Linked DNA regions of Drosophila melanogaster. The protein of the gene in region 2 interacts with the protein of the main gene of each other region in a pairwise test. Each region holds a gene or a part of one and is shown on either strand. Other genes may lie near its edges.

Region 1 (3,755 bases), on a different chromosome or scaffold from region 2:
GAATGCTGCGGAATCGGAACCCGTTTTGCGCATGCCCACGGTGCGTATGCAAGATTTATGACAGTTGCGCTTCGGCGGCATCCGTCGAGCACGTGGCGGACCACCAACAAGTGTGATAAGCGTGATAAGGCCCCGAACGCAAATCCAAATGTTTTCCACCGAGCCACCGGGGGATTGGTGTCTAAGGTCAGGGACACTGACCGCACACCGCTGATACCAGACAGTTGGAAGCAAGTGCGAAAAAAGTACGGAAACTATAGTTTATGAAAGTGACCATCGTATCTAGGATCTAAGTATATATCTCTATATTGCAGTGAATATTAATAATTAACTTCGAGCTTAAAATGACTTATTATCTAGAGGTGGTATTCCAATTGTGGGAACCATTAAAATCAAATGCAAAATGATGTCTCACGGTGGGCAGTGTTGGAGCTGATAAGCCGCCTGCTTACAAACTAGATATCAGTGGGCCCAATTAGTTTCTCCACTAATTTCTTATCGAAAATTTGGAACCCCATCAAGGAAGCCTATATTCATTCAGAAAACAATAGGGATCTCCAGTGAAATAGTATTCTTATCAGGCATCGACAGTCCGCCGTATTATGCAACTATTTGCACTTGAGACACAGTTACCTCGCCATCCTGGCAACAAAGTTTTAGTCTTATCACACAGGTGAAACCCCCAAGCGCAGGTGCACTTTCATTCAGAAAGAATTAGTGACGCGGAGGGCGATAAGCCGTGGAATAATAGTATTTCCTTATCAGCCATCGACTGCTAATTCAATTATGTAACAGTTCGCACTCGAGTGATGTTAATTAATTAAGCCGGCACTTGAAGCACAAACTGGCTGTCTGTCCGTCGGATTAGTCATCCACAAGTACGGCCATAGCATCTCGTCAACCCGACATACTTGCGGTGGAATCACCTGGGAGGTGGGGGCATCTCATTATAACGCACATTATTAACTGACGCCTCGTGTCACGCCCGAGTGGGCAAGGAGACCACGTTGGGGTAACCCGCCAGGACTGGCGCCCAAAACCGCCAATCAAATCGGCATCGCAATCGCAATCGCACTCGCACTCGCACTCGCTGACTCGGAACGGCGGCTCGTCCTGCCCGAAAGTCCGTAGGACTTAAAGCCTTAAGATGCAGTTTCCTGCGGTGGCACCCCCCATTTGCATGCCAATCGTCGGGAGCATCTTGTCCGGGTCCTTGCTTATGCATTTCGCCGGGTCCTGCTCATTTTGCCAAACAAATTCAGAAACACTTTAAACTATTTTGCTCGCTTTTGGCCGCTCTGTCTGTAATTTCATGTTAATATATGCATGCAACCGAACTCCCGGAGCTTTTCGAGGTACAGCCCCCCTTTTGGGGCGCCGACACACAATGCAAATAGCGCAACAGGGCGTGGCCCTCCCCGAAATTATTACAGCCATAATAAAATGCCGGCGTTGAGTTCATTTAAAAGGAACTATTTCGGAGAGTCCTTTGAAAGCGGCGCAGAACAACATTTAAGTTCAGGTTAAGCTGGCGAAATAGTTTCTGAAAACTTAAAGTAAACGTTCCAGGCGGGTCAAATAGATACTTCAAAGGATATTTAATATCACGAGCTTAAAACTATTTACAATATAAAGCGCAATTCTCTGTTAATCAATCACAAAATACATTTTTTATGCCACGTCCAAGTAATACCAGGTGCAATCAAATTAGAACGAAAAATATTGTACTTGCAAGGTAATCCCTTATAGTTTCCAAGATATCGTTCGTCAGAATCTATCTGTTAAATATTTTTCTAAGAATATAGTACAGCTTTTTATCTGACAAAAGTTCGGGAATTAATACTTTTGACCCCGGCGAAGTTTGCTTACTCACCTGCCTCTGAAAGGTGTTCCCATGGGACAAGTGGTACGGAAGTCACTGCCTCCTGGAGCGGAAATTAAAAAAGTGACTCCGGCTAGATTAGACGAGCCCACCTCGGGAATCAGCTGATGTTACCGTAAATCTTCGACTTATTTTGGCCAAACTTTGGACTCGGCAAGTGTAGCGATTAATTGCTTAATTGATATGATAAGCGCCCCTTCAGGGCGATATAAAAAGACAACGTAACGGCTCTGGGCACTCAGTAGAGATTTAGAATTGGACTAGCAAAATGCCGACAAAGGCGGTTTTCCCCACCTTCTTCAACAAGGAGACCCAGGTCTGGAGTGGCCCGCCACGGCCCACGGTCTACGACCACAACACCTCGGTCGGTCAGATCGTGTTCAACTCCCTGAGGTGCTGGCCCACCAATGTGATTCAGGTAAACGATTGCGTGACTGGTAGCCGGCGGAGACGGGAATCTGATGAGCTCGATTATATAAAAGTAGATCACCGACGACGACGGCACCGTGCTGACCAACGCCGACATGCTGGCCTACGCCACCCGGATTGCCCTATTCTTTAAGAGCGAGGGCTTGACCCAGGAGGACCGCGTCGGGATCATCGCCAACTCGAGCACCTTCGTGATCCCCGTGGCCACCGCCTGCTTCTTCCAGGCCACGCCCTTCCACGCCGTCAACTACTCCAGGGAGCCGGCCATCGTACAGGGTCTCTACTCGGTGACCAAACCCAAGATCATGTTCATCGACGGTCCGGACTACGACCGCATCAAGGAGATCACCAAGGAGTGGTCTCCCAAGCTGATCACGCTCACGGGTAAAGTGGAGGGCGTTACTAGCATCGAGGACCTCGTAAAGCCCCATCCCGCCGAGAAGATCTATGTGTGAGTAGTTTGAGATCTTCAATCAATTTAAATTTCAATAAATTCATTATTTTAAATATCTTTCAGACCTGCTTCCCTGGCCACTGGTGGCGACCAGATCGCCGTGGTCCTGTGCTCCTCCGGCACTGCTGGCTTGCCCAAGGCAGTTGCCCTCTCCCACCGCCACATTGCATCCACCAACTCGTGAGTTCTCAAGTTCAAAGCTCCCAGACTAGCCAGTCTAACCCATCTCTTCCCACAGGCTGTGCATCAGTACCGATGTGCTGTACACCAGTGCCACCATCGACTGGATGACCGGATTCTCGATTACCGTAATGAATCTCACATGTGGCTTCACTCGCATCATATCCAGGAGGACATTTAGCGCCGAGACGGCTCTCTACCTGGTCAGCAAGTACAAGGTCACCTGCCTGGCAATGGCGCCATGGCAGGCCTACGAGCTCTTCACCAGTCCACTGGCCACCAGCGAGCAACTGGAGTCCCTGAAGATAGCCTTCGTGATTGGAGGATGGATATCCCTGGCACTACTGCGGCGGGCCCAGGAGCTGCTGCCCAAGACCTACGTGATGTTCTCGTACGGAACCACGGAGACGGGAGTGGTGACCATCAACATCGACCACAGTCTGGAGTGCTCTGTAGGCAGACTGGCGCCCGGCATGAGGATCAAGATCCAAGGCGAGGATGGCCAGCAGCTGGGCGTGAATCAGACGGGCGAGGTGCTCATCGACATCGGCCTGAAGTGGGAGGGCTACCTCTCGAACCCGGAGGACACGGCCACCACCCTCCAGGATGGATGGATCAACCTGGGCGACCTGGGCTACTTCGACGAGGACAACAACCTGTACTTGGTGGACCGCAAGAAGGACCTGCTGAAGTACAAGTCCAAGCACTACTGGCCCAACGAGATTGAGCAGATCATCGCCGAGCTCCCGGAGGTGGAGCACGTGTGCGTGGTAGGCGTGCGGGATGCGAGATACGGTGACGCCGCCGGAG
Region 2 (3,714 bases):
TAAGGGCAAACATTTATTCTTATCCTCCAGTCACATTAGTGCGAAGGCTAAGAGCAACCGTGATGGGTTTGCTTTGGAATTACGAATGGAAGTGGAGCAAAGCTGTGGGATTTAGAGTCATTTAACTTTACGGATCTTTAAGCGTCACTACTACTACCTAACTACCTTTCTTTCTATAGGACCATTTCATACCCTAGAAGACATCGTTTGCCTGTAGTATTGTTAAAATAAACGAATAACTAACTTTCATATACCAAATCTCAAGTAAAGAATGTTTTATGAAATGAATACACCTCTCTTAAGATATATGAATCCCAACATGTGTGAGAAAATTAACATAAAATACCGATAAGATTACATAAACATGCAAATCTTCCACTTCATCTTATAATATAGCATTATTGATCCCCGGCTGGCGACTCACCTTGATAATTTACAAATTCAGTTGGAACTGTTTGATTTATTCGAAAGGGTTTGCATATATCATTTTGAAAACGGCAAATTGCGATTATAATCGAAACAAAAGTGAGCAGAGGAAGAGAAGAAGAATAAGAGGAATGGCGATATTAGGGAGATAAAGTTGCACGCGAAAACCGGTTGCCGTTATTGTTTACACCAAATCGGAAACGAAGTTGTGGGGGCAGGCGCGAATATGAATGTTGTACGGAGGGGAAGAAGTGGAAACTGGGCGGAAAACGGAGAACGGGGAACGGGAAAGTGGGAATCAATAAAACAAACACACCACGAAAAACACATGGAAAGTGCAGCAAAACTATATGCCTTTCATTTCGGTTTAGTGCACAAATCGGCGAGTCCTGCTGCCACAAGAATGAATCATTCGAATCTTTTCGATTTTGTCGAAAGATATGATATGTGAGATAAATAATATGCTGATGCACAACCACACACACACTCGCACTCACGCTCACGCACACCCGCCCCCACACACACGAACGAACGAGGCTTCACTGTTTATGTTTATTAATATATTCCAGACACGCGGATCCATAGAAGAAAATCATACATATTCGAATTCACGGCGGCGACGACAGCAAAATGAAAAAAAATCGAAAACGAACCGAAAACTGAAAAGCAGAACACACGCGTTGGTCCTATTCGTTCCTTTGTTTTTGATATCGTATCGCGAGGGGCTAAGAACTATAACTATATCCGCATTATATAACCGCACTGGTAGATCCGGGCATGGCTGCACCGTGGGGCACGTAATTGCACCCGTCACTTACACTTTTCCTCGCCAGTCGCTTGGATCTCGCGTCCGAGTCGTTTGGGGATTTGTTTTTTAAAACGCGACGTTCGTTCCTCGGTTCTCGACGGCTATAAACAGTGTGGCCGCGCCGGGAGTGCAACTATAAGCCGATGGTGTGACCATGGCGGGAAAGTGGTATTATGCCGTGTGCCATATGGGCAAATATACCAAAACAATAAATAGCAATTCAAATAATTTAATATATAACATGTTTACTTAAAAACTAAGCTTTTTACCTAAATAAGTATAATAAAGATATAATAAAGTAAAATATTATTTTGTTATATATAATATTACCTGTGAAAAAATTTTAAAAACGTCAATTTGTTTTATACTTCTTTATTTCTTTCATTTATATAAAGAATTCCATGTTTAATTTATTCACATTGAAACATATTCAGCATAACAGTTTTGACCCACTGTAAACCTCCCTTTTCAATACTAATTCTAACGTCAACCATTGTTATCGATAACAGCTAATTTGCTGATCGCTCTCGTTCGCATAAAATAAACACTTTTCCGGCATTTTAAAATGGTAAGTAGATATTTAACGAACTGTGCCTTTTATACATCCCTTTTTTCCGCTAGTTTTCTGTCCTTCATAAAGAGGAAAATGCGCACGACAGTCAGCTATGGGCGTGCACCTGGGGACGCGACACTGCGGCCTCAGATCCGGATGACGCGGTCGTGGAGCCCGAGGAGAATCCCTTTGATTTCGATAAGAAGGAGGCCCGCCCGAAGGATTTCTTGGTCACCGGCGGACTGGATGACTTGGTAAAGGTGTGGGACTTGCAGGAGGACAACACCCTAAAGTTGCGCCACAAACTAAAAGGACATGCCCTGGGAGTTGTTTCTGTGGCCGTCAGTTCCGATGGACAGAGTAGGTTGAAAGATTCTGTACTTGGGAGATAGAGAAATGGACATCAATTAATGGTGCCGCCTTCCTTCCAGCCATTGCCAGTAGTTCTCTGGACTCCACCATGTGTTTGTGGGATGCCCGTTCGGGCGACAAGAAACACCTACTTAGCTTTGGGCCTGTTGATCTCTGGACGGTGCAATTTTCACCCTGCAACAAATATGTGATATCCGGACTGAACGACGGCAAAATCTCCATGTACAGTGTGGAAACCGGAAAGGCAGAGCAGACATTGGATGCCCAAAATGGGAAATACACGCTTAGCATTGCCTACGTAAGCTTTATCTGGTAAATAACCCATTTTGAGAATCCTATAGCTGTATTATTCTAGAGTCCCGATGGCAAGTACATTGCCAGTGGAGCCATCGATGGTATCATTACCATTTTCGATGTGGCCGCGGGCAAGGTAGTGCAAACATTGGAAGGACACGCGATGCCAGTGCGTAGCCTTTGCTTTTCTCCGAACTCGCAGCTGCTGCTCACTGCCTCAGATGATGGTCACATGAAGCTTTATGATGTGTAAGTGGCTTAACACCTATGACATTTTCAGGCACTACTATCTCCTCGTTTTAGAACCCACTCCGACGTTGTGGGCACCCTATCTGGGCACGCATCTTGGGTGCTGTGCGTGGCATTCTCCGAGGACGGCAAACACTTTGCCAGCTCCTCCAGTGATAACAGCGTGAAAATATGGGACACCTCGGAACGCAAGTGCCTGCACACGTTCGCCGAGCACACAGATCAGGTGTGGGGCGTCCGATATAGCCCCGGAAACGACAAGGTGGCCTCTGCTTCTGAGGACAAGTCCCTGAACATATACTACTGTCCGCCCAATGCCATTGTTTGATTTCATACAATAGAGCGTAGGTTTAAAACAAAGAACAAGAATGATTTATTTACGGATTACCCTCCGAGCTCGATTTAACCCGCAGAAGGGGCTGCGTGGCTTGAGTTAGCATCGTGTCTTTGTACTTCTGGTCGGGTATGTACATATTAAAAGTTTTAAAGTAGTGCAGTATGTTTTCTAAAAAGGGAAAAGTTAGACTGAGGTATTCTGAGAACACATTTTCTTTTAGGTTTACCAACTAGAGGCTCCTTAAGCTTGTACTCATTGGCTATCTTCTTGGCTGGCCAGGATTCAGGATCCAACTGGTGGTCATTGATGAACTTAAGCGCCTGGCGCAGTGTGCAATGACCGGGGCTAATGCGGTTGGGCTCCAGATATCCGTACTCAAAATCATCCGGCGTTTTGCGTTCCAGGGGCAGTGGTCGCTGTTCCACATTGTCCGCCGCCGCCTCAGCTGCCTGGCGCTCCTGCACTCGCTTGATCTAGGGAACATATAGCAGGTTCCATATTAGTATTGGTCGAAAGTACCTTCTAAGGTATTAACCCACAAATCGATCCTGCGAGGTTACATAAACGTCTTTCAATCGTCCGTCCAAGCTGGAGTCTTTCATATTGAGCTTGTCCACGAACTTGGGATCCACTGTAATGGGGAAAATGAAGCATTACACTCCAAGGGTGTTTAAT

The links.
Region 1: the proteins of CG3909 (region 2) and CG4563 interact in a two-hybrid assay, tested with the Drosophila melanogaster proteins (one large-scale study listed by BioGRID).

Annotation. Positions count from the first base shown.
Region 1 is NT_033778.4:24,451,401-24,455,155, reverse strand, and holds the start of CG4563 (uncharacterized protein), read left to right. Parts: upstream 1-2,115; 5' UTR 2,116-2,150; coding exon 2,151-2,300; intron 2,301-2,367; coding exon 2,368-2,762; intron 2,763-2,828; coding exon 2,829-2,945; intron 2,946-3,003; coding exon 3,004-3,755.
Region 2 is NT_033777.3:10,041,548-10,045,261, forward strand, and holds CG3909 (uncharacterized protein), read left to right. Parts: upstream 1-1,722; 5' UTR 1,723-1,799; coding exon 1,800-1,802; intron 1,803-1,855; coding exon 1,856-2,147; intron 2,148-2,218; coding exon 2,219-2,457; intron 2,458-2,514; coding exon 2,515-2,702; intron 2,703-2,756; coding exon 2,757-3,030; 3' UTR 3,031-3,059; downstream 3,060-3,714. Other genes in the region: CG11722 (uncharacterized protein), read right to left, coding at 3,080-3,207, 3,266-3,512, 3,579-3,670.